Schizosaccharomyces pombe: one gene and its partner. The protein of the gene in region 2 purifies or fractionates together with the protein of the main gene of each other region. This does not show direct contact. Each region holds a gene or a part of one and is shown on either strand. Other genes may lie near its edges.

Evidence for each region. Proteins that work in one complex are often made in the same cells at the same time.
Region 1: the proteins of btb1 (region 2) and rbx1 purify together in Schizosaccharomyces pombe (affinity purification with western blotting, with the first as the bait; one study listed by BioGRID). This does not show direct contact.

The regions. Positions count from the first base shown.
Region 1 is NC_003424.3:1,573,467-1,576,836, reverse strand, and holds rbx1 (SCF complex, Cul4-RING and CLRC ubiquitin ligase ligase E3 subunit Rbx1), read right to left. Parts: upstream 1,493-3,370; 5' UTR 1,428-1,492; coding exon 1,353-1,427; exon of another isoform or gene 1,165-1,352; coding exon 1,015-1,164; exon of another isoform or gene 952-1,014; coding exon 861-951; exon of another isoform or gene 837-860; intron 817-836; coding exon 809-816; 3' UTR 530-808; downstream 1-529. UniProt on the Schizosaccharomyces pombe protein: Component of E3 ubiquitin ligase SCF complexes, which mediate the ubiquitination and subsequent proteasomal degradation of target proteins.
Region 2 is NC_003421.2:129,755-136,061, reverse strand, and holds btb1 (BTB/POZ family ubiquitin-type ligase substrate adaptor Btb1), read right to left. Parts: upstream 4,668-6,307; 5' UTR 4,546-4,667; coding exon 502-4,545; downstream 1-501. Other genes in the region: sdh3 (succinate dehydrogenase cytochrome B subunit), read left to right, coding at 1-105; mRNA 5'-cap (guanine-N7-)-methyltransferase Pcm1, read right to left, coding at 5,049-6,131. UniProt on the Schizosaccharomyces pombe protein: Probable substrate-specific adapter of an E3 ubiquitin-protein ligase complex which mediates the ubiquitination and subsequent proteasomal degradation of target proteins.

The sequences.
Region 1 (3,370 bases), on a different chromosome or scaffold from region 2:
CTATCAAACCTTTAAAGAGATGGATATATACACATTCAATCACATAGGGATGCTTTTTACAGTCTTTATATAAAAAGTATCCGACTTTTTAGTATCACTTAAAAAGTCAGATGAATGTAGGTCTCTCTATAGTGGGAAGTGACGAAGGCGACAGAAACATTAGTATTAGGCGAATAAAGAGTCAAAGTACCACGAATCTTTTTATGCCTACCCACTATTAACGAAAACACCAAGTCTGATAAACTGAAGGTTTTAAACATCAGATGGTAATTTTCATAAAGCTGTTTGTTCTTATTTAAAAGTTAACTGAATTTGTGAATTGATTGGCAAGTATAGAAAATCCGTGCACTACTGAGCTTTTGTATCTCACCACTGACATTCTTCTCGAAAGCAATGATTCGCATTCTGTCATGCGATATGCAGCATAATGTCTGTATGCCTATTCAATTTTAACAATAGCACTTTAGAAGTATGCCATTTCTTTTGATGATTTAAGTAATGTTCTAATTCTTCAAGTGTATACAAAGTAGTGATATAATGTCTTAATTTATATGATGTGTAGTTAAAAACTGTCTGTAGGAAATTTTATTTGACAAGCAATAAAATAAATTGATATATTCGTCCACTATCTGAGTAATTGGAGTAAATAAATATAAATAACAATTCAAAGTCACATGGAAACTTAAACTAGCCACAAGTAGTCATGATTTTAGGAAATTTTAATTGATTCATGTCATTTCATTAATAAAACGCTCTGCTCCATTGAAATATTTTTACCAACAAAAAAGTAAGTACTTAATAAATGTTATTAATGACCTGAGATAAAGTTAGTAAAGTAGGCTCGTCTTAATATACCCTACCATAACGTTGGAACTCCCATTCACGATTGTCCAAAGGACAAACATTCCTAGTGTTTAACCATCTTGAGATGCAGTGAAAGTGAAATGCATGCTTTTGTATTTGTTAAAAACAGTCCTGAGCTAAGAATACGAAAGAAATCGAATTAAAACTTACATTACAAGTTCCCCATGCCACTGTGCACTCTTGAGCAGCAGCAGAATCGGTGTTAGCTTGACACTCAATACATAAGTCCATAATATGATTTCTGCAGATAGCACAGTTATCTACAACAATGTCCCATTGCCATAATGCTACAGCATTCCACTAAATTGAAGGTAAGCAATATGAATCAGAAGAACTCATAAAAAAAGCAAAGAGAGTAAACTAGTACTTAAGTGTATGCTTATTTTAAAATAGCAAATATATCTTTGGGTATTAATTTTCACAGTTTACTTTGCTTTATGGCAAATTTGATACACATGAAGAACATGATCATAAAAATAATGACGAACCTTTTTAATTTCAAATCGAGGAGGTTTTTGTTCAATTTCCACCTCCTTCTTGTCTATTTGCATTTCATCTTCCATTGTGATGAGTAAAATAGAGCAAAGCCGCTACTTCGTTTTAAGATGAGATGTTTAAGCGGTGTGATAAAGGGGGTTGAAAATTGCAGCTTCGCTAAGCAATACTCAAACATAAGATAATTTTTGGAGTAATGTAATAAATTTTGCTAAAACACAAGTATTTAATATAATAAATAATGGATCATGGATCTTTCAATCGCAAAATGCGTACTCAAAAAATGAAGGATGATTATTCATCTGCTGTTTCATGAGTGTTTAGCACTATATCTATTTAGCTACATTAAATTACTCAGTTTGTTTAAATGTGTAAACTTTTAATTCTATGTTACATGATGACAATACAAGTTTCTTAGATATTATTTGTATTATGTGTGCTCGTTAGACATCTATTGAATAAGTTTTGTATATAATATCGAAGTACTGAAGACGGTTTCCTACAAACGTTTCAACCAAAATTAGTAAATAGCCCTATTTATCTATAATATTGTACCTTCTCTAGCATATCAAATTGAACACATTCAGCGAATTTTTCTGAAGTAATAGAGCTATTTTTTATTATTGTATTTCATCCAAATATAAATACCTTGGAAGTGAAATATACAAGGGAAGTTAATTCCAAAATTGATTTATTTTTAACTTGTATTGACTCTGAAATTCAAGACTGATTGAAAAAAGCTTTATCCATACAATTAATAAATAAACCATCTCAATATAACAATCGTAGAACAAGATGCAGTTAATGTTTATTTTAGTCCAGCATATTCGTCTTCTGATTACAAAAGTTTTCAAAAGTAGGTTGCACTATTTGTTGTAAATGGTCTTTGCTAGTATGCAAAATTAATAATAGTTTACAAAACTTGAAAAATAATGAACACAAGAATATCATTTCTATAGATCGGGTGTATCTTTACTAGGATTTTAATTTCCGATTATACACAGCTGCTGCCTCCTGTGGCTCATTTGATTACTATATTATTGCGATCGTATAGTCATTTGTACTAAACAAACCTCGTATATGGCTTTTTTTTGTAAAAATTTCTACTAGTTTGACTGCTTATATTTTGCTAAAAATGTCTTTAAAATGATCGGCATCAAATTGTATGGTAATTTCGTTGAGTAAACATTCGTATCTACAGTGATTTCATCGTCAACATCGGATTTCCTTCAATTTTTGAAAGTTATCATCAAAGAGATTTAAATGATAGATGGAATATATTAAGCCGAAAAATCTGGTTTTCAAGTTTACATCTGTTAGCAAATTTTAAAAGGATCTACAGCTAAGTACCGTGCTAAGAGCATGCCAAGGGGTTTTGAGATATCTCGCTAAGTTTAAAACCAAAATACTGTGTAGCTATACAATGCACTAAAACTGGCAAAGTATAATAACGCGGAAGCTACGTTCAAACTATTGGAAATGTAACCTGCCTAACGAGACGCAAGGATATTTGCATTGGGGATTGTCAGCTTGAAGTCGAGCTGAATGAAATGCTAAGCTTAAAATCAAACAAATGAAATTTATAATTAACTATCTTTATGCAAGCCTGTGCATATTAAAAATCGACTAATACAAAAACAAGAAACAAATTGAACTTGTTAGTAAAACGAAAGAGAACGGTAGCGATACTTCGTTGAGGCAAGCATGTTTTGGAATAAGTAGTTTTTTAAAAGTTTGGAGCCTGTCTACAAACATTTTGCAACATGAAGAGATCATAGCCTACGGATCTTGAATTTGAGGAAAAAATGCTAATGTACTTTTACTTATTTACATCGCTCTGTCATTAATTTTGTCTTTTTTTTTTTTGTAAAAATACTCAATTCTCTAAAATATATATCCCCGTCAAATGCCAAAAGAGCAAACAAAATAAAATTGAATAAGTAAATAAATATAGCCTGTATGCAAGGATACGAAATTTTAAATAAATAAAAAAAAGCGCGGCTCAGATAAA
Region 2 (6,307 bases):
ATCTGGGATACCACCAAGGAGTTAAGTCTAAAGGGTGTCTATCGTACCGGTTATGCTGTTCTTGCCCTTTCCGTTTTGACCTCTGGCTATTTTGCGATGATTTAGGTGAATGGAAACAAACCTTATCTTTGCTCGTTTTGTAATTGCTTGTCACGGTTTCTCTAGTGAATTTACGAAGCAGCATCATTTCTCCTATAATTTTTCCACTACAATTGGATCTGTCCTTGATACACTATAAATTACCGTGTATATCGAATTCTTGTATTCATTCCGTACGTGCTTTGAATTTCTTTATGACCAAAGTTTCCTATTCAATTTTATTATTTTCAAATATTGAATTTTTAGCGTATGTAAAATGTGTGATTGGTATCGTGAAACAAAAGCTTAATAAATAATTCACCATGTAGCAAATATTTTTTCTTATACATATCTATTAAAGTATCTCTTCATAAGTTGAATAAATTAATGTCCTGAATTTTTTGTATATAGTCGTTGTTATGGTCATTTGACTGCACGTGCTTTTCCTTTCTTGTGAGTAGTCCTTGGTATATCAATAGGAAGAGATTTAAACTCCGCAGTGGACTCTGACACTTTGGAATCTTTTTCCTTTCTGTGCCTTCGTTGAGGTTGTTTAGAAGCTTGTCCCTGTTTTCTATTCGTAGAGGTATCTCTTTCAGTTTTAAGGATTCCAAGTTCTTTCTGTACTCTCAAACTCTCCTCCTCCCACCACTTTTGAAACTCCTCTTCCTGTTGTATCTCCTCAATTGTTTTTCTAAAAGATGATCTCCTCTTTTGACTCTCAATTTCTTCTTTCTGCTCAGTCATAATCTCCGAAATCGATAAAGGTTGGCTATTTTTTGGTAAAGAAGCAGATCGGGGAGATGGTTTAGTAAGTAGGTTCCAACTAGTTGGAGAACCATTGGAAATGCGCTTCTTCGATTCTTGATAAATTACTTGAGATGAACCTTCCTCTCGAGCTGCCTCTCTAAGAATACCATTAAATGACTTTTTCACTCCAGTTGATGACGAAAAACTGCCCCTCTGATGTGTTGCTACAGACCAAGGGTTTGAGTGATTCGATTTACCCAACTCGATATCGATGTGGCCAACATTTGTTTTGGAAATAGGCACTTGCTTTGAAAGCTCCTTTTTTTTCTCACGTTGGGATTTTTTAGTTGGAGCTTTCATAAATCTAGAATCAGACAAAACCGTAGTAGTTGAAGCATCAGCTTTCTCTTGCTCCAGCAATTCTCTAAGACTAGCTCTAGTAGTGTTGTTATTATGAGAAAGATTTTCCCTATTCCTCCATGGACTCGTTTTGTCAAAAGTAATTGTTGCAGTAACAGGTTGATCAGCCCCAGGACCATTTAATTGTGTTTTATCCCCTCCTGACGAAGCAGACTCTATATTGTTTTGAATTTCAACAGAAGCTCCTGCTGTCTTTGTAATGCTCGTAACGTTAACAACATTTGGTTTAGGAGACTTCTCCTCAGCATCTTCCTTATTTAATGAATCACTTTGATTACTTGAAGGAACAATTCCAGATTCTAAAATTACTGCTGAAGTGCTGCATCGACGATCTTCAAAAATAGACCGATAAGGGGAATCGTCCCATAATTGAGAACTTTCCTGGGAAAACAAGTATTCTCTGAGAACTTTAAGCTCATAATTTCTTTTTTCCATCAACACTGGATCTCTTATCAATAATCTATTAGCAATCTTGCTAGAAGGAAGATGTACTCGTTGATCAGAAAGCAATTCAGTTAAACGTTGAGCGACTTTTTTTAAATGGAAACCATCCCATTCACTTATACGATTTGCTTCCAAAAAGAATTCAATATTGTGACAAGCATAATCAATACATCGTGAATAAAGCTCCTCAGCGTGATAACTAAGTGAAAGATCCATTAGAGTAGGTAGAGTTTTCAAATTTAAAAAGCGAAGTAAGGATTGCTGGGCTATGCTTTTTAGTTCAAGAAAAAGAAGCTCGTCTGCAATAGACAAAATTTCGAACATAGTTTCCAACCAATTATGAAAATCGGATTCTTTCAAATCGTCAAAAAGCTCAACTTTTAAGTCACTGTATACATGACGAAGAACAATTGACATATGCTCAACAGTCAAATGAGACAAATTGACGGTTATTGGGATGTCAAAACTATTGCTTTCCATAGAAACAAATTGGAAATAAGAACTAAAGTATTCACTGCGGAGACTTAAAAAAAGACCATGTGCCTTGAGCTCTCCATCTTTAAGCTTTATTACTGTATCCATTGTTTCTTCGCATAAGACATAAAAATTATTATATAGTTGCAGAATGTCATTCGTTAAAGAAAGCAAAGGTTGGCGGGAAACACTAAACGGTAAAACCTCCGCTAAATGAGGTAACTCCAGTAAGTTTGCAAGTTTTGAAAGGTTTTCTTTTAAAGGTGAAAAGCGTGAATCAAGATGCCATGGAGAAAGCAATGTATCCGTGTACAAATAATGCAAAAGAATAGCAACCGCTAAAGGAGGAATATCTTCAACTCTAATTGTTGAATGAGATTGAGTGATTTCTTCAATGTAAATGATGTTGGAGACACTCGATTTCTTTTTTTGTAGCAATAATTTTCTCAAAAATGAAGATCGAGCACACAATATGAACTTATGTGAGTGGAACATAGAAGTACCACAATAAATAGTAACATCAGAAAATGATTGCTTATAATTTTCATAACTAGTAAGAATCGGTATAGATCCTTCAAAAAGTAGCTGCATCTCATTGCTGGATGCAGCGCGGTCTTCGTCAAAAATAGGGACTCCGTCTTCATCTTCGGGAGGAATCAAACGTGGTTGTCTTACATGTAAAAGGTGGTCATAGGGAAGTAGTGAGCGCAAAAGATCAATTAACATATTCGAAGGCTTGTAGATTGGCGGTGGAAGATAATCATTTCGAATTGCAAAAAATGATCCAGAAGCGCTCGCACGGACTCCAACAACCATTTGTAAATTTTCAATTCTATTATATTTGTATGGTCCTCTAGAATACGGGCTACTAGATGACTTTTCTCGCTTTTTTGACCTTAACTCCCGTTTCCAACAAGTGCCATTTCTAGTACATAGTATTAAAGAATTATCAGCGGTCCACGCAATATCTAAAGCTGCAAGGTCTGAAGATTCAAAAATCCATAATGGAGTAAATTTGAATGAAGTTCGTGTGGAATTCTTGGAAGAGGTAGAATCACGATCAAGTAAAAGCTTCATATCAAATTCATAGACTTCGCCTAGTTCTGTAAGCACGGCTAGTTTGTTTTCTGAAGCTAATAATTTTCTAACGTTAAATCTGGTGAGGGAAAGAGGATGCTTAGTTACCTTTAACGAACTACCAAAGTCAACGTTGAATGGCAATTTCACTTGATTATAATTGCAAAAGGCAATTATACTGTTGTTTTGTAAAAGGCATATCGTAGCACGAGTAGTACAAACGGCATGTATGACAGGCGATAATAAGCCAGCAACTCTCCTTGGAGTAGAAACAACTGAAATATGATCAGATATACCTAATTGGCCATTATTTAACCCCCAGCTGTAAATATCAGTGTCAGTCCAAGCAACGCTATAACTTTTTCCAGCCGCCATTCCAATTATCTGATAATCCTTGAATGCAGAGATACGCCTAGGGGTAATTTGAATTGGATCATCCTTTTTCAGTTCGTCATTAGAAAGTCCCAGTTCACCAGAACCATTCTTTCCCCACGAATAAATACTTCCGAACTTTGTAAGAGCAAGTGAATGGGTATGACTAACAGAAATCTGGATAACTTTATGAATGATACCAGGAATAGGAATAAAGTTATATTGAACGTCCGTGTTAAAACCTATTCTCCCTCCAGCACCAATACCACATACGTAAACATTTTGCGACGGCTCATCCGTTAGTACGACGCTGTGAAATTTGGAAGCCTGCACATCAAGGATTTTGTCTCGGGAAAAGAGTTGACCTGATGTGGGAGACTCTGTTTGGTTTTTCAGTAAAAACACTCTTTCTGGCGATGAAGGTTCTTTCCCATTTGCTATTCCGAGCGTATTGTTTACGTTAGTACCAAAGCCATAAAGTTCATTTCCTATTATCGGTAAGTCAAGAACCGGATGAATAGTGCTTGAAAGGACTCGTGATAAAAATTGAAATGGAGAAAGACCTTCTTTGTCTTTAATACGCAATGATCTGAAGGAGGGATCTTTTGATAAAAGCAAAGACGCTGCTTCCAAGTTGCCAACGTAGATTGCCCGATGCAACGCCGTATATCCAGATTCTTCATCTTGCACAAAAACATCAATGCCTTTATGCTGCAAAAGAGATCTAACAAAGGAATTTTTATTCTCAGAAACGGCGATGTGCAGCACGGTGCGTCCGTATCGATCTTTTTGGTTGATACGGAGTTTTTGTCCGCTCTTTTCCGAAAAACCCTTTCTAGGCTCTTTCACCTTTGAATCATCTTGCTTCAGTAGATTTTGGAATGAGCGAATGTCGTTGCAAAGGTAATACGCGAAAAGCAGATGACTCATTTAATCAATCGAGACTAAAAAAGGGCGCAATGTGAATTTATCATTTAATCAATCGATTACTCCATAAGAAATTTTCTCTCAAATCAATTAAAACGTTCCAGTTTTTTAACTTGACTGTTGCTGAAGAAAAAATGGAAGAAGAGTAGCAGTGGATGCTGGTAGTTGAATACCGACAGGTGCATTGATTTAAGCTATCGCTTAATATTTGAGGCAATTTTTGGGGCAATCTGATTTGATGAAATATGCCTGGGAGCATACTTTATTTATTCGCTTAAGCTGGAATGAAAGAGAGCATGTTACTTATGTATAAAATATATGAAAACAGAAAAAGAAAGAATAAAGGCATAAAAATGAATAAATAAATAAAAGTCATTGCCATCAAAAATTAATCTACATCTTTTAAAGTCATCTTTTTTTCTACCACTGTACTGATCTTTCGAGCGTGAAAGATCTTTCTACAATGCGGTCTGCACAGTGAATCAGTGGGATAAGGAAAGAAAAGACTAAATTCCCCTCTTCTCAAAGGCAAATGCTAAATAAAATCCTGCTGCTTCTTTTTCCTGTCCACCAATTCCACGGTGTCCTTCATTATCAACGACTTTCATTCGATCCATTAGGGGTCCATACGTTTCAGAGTTTTTCTCTTCATTTAAGATGTCCAAAAAAGGTTTTACCCATATTAATTCAAGATTGTATCCTTCGGCAACAGCACGAAAGGCTTCAAAAGGAACTACATATTCAGGAACATCGGTAACAGCATCCTCTAAATAAAAATAATATTGAATTCCATACGGAGGTCGAAAAGAGCGTGGAGGTGATTCAGGAAATCTGACTTTGTATATGTCATTTCCCCATTCTTTTTCTCCTGGTTTAAGCATTTTAATATGTTTGACAATTACATCGGAATTGGGAATCGTTCCTATCATTACTCCACCACGAGGAAGGCATTTAGAAACGTTCCCCAACAAGACCCTAACCTTTTCTTCGCTTTCAAATGCATAATGCATGCAAAACTGTAGAGAAACAACGTCAAATTTTCTTTGGTCTGGGGGAAGTAATTCGTTAATTGAGCTAGAAAAACAGTCGCCAGCGTAGAATAGTGCATCAAAAGAAGCATGCATTTCACGGTATCTCTTCTTGGCCTGATTTACGGAAACTTCAGCTATGTCAATCCCAATATATCCATCAATGCCAGCTTTGTCCCATTTAATTAAATCACCACCTTTTCCACATCCCATGTCTAGTACCAAAATAGGATAATCAGAAGCATGGGGTGCGAATTTTTGTATGAGAACAGATTTGATCCAGTTGTTAAACCTCTTTAGTTGAATAATAGGAGAAAATTGTCGTTTTTTATAACCCAAATCAGGACGCGCGTTATAGTGTGAACGTACCACATCCTGCGCATTACCATTGTTTTCATGCCTATTATAACCTCTGCGACCAGAGTTGTCATTGTTTTGGAAGTAATCGCGACGCCTTGGTTGTTGTTCAATTACTCGATTCATTTGTGCAGTAGGTCTCGCATATCTGCGATTTTCTGTTGGAGGCTGTTCCTCATGCACTCGGGAGTTCGAGCTGCTCATATCTCTTATTATAAATATTATTATAAATAAATGAGAATAGTTTCTTTCAAAGGTTAACGATCTTTCCATCATATGATGACTATCCATCGATCACAAACTTACATACAAATAATTTTCTTCAAAATAATTCAAAAAACAGAAACTTCTTTAAAAAAGATCAAAAACATATGACTTTT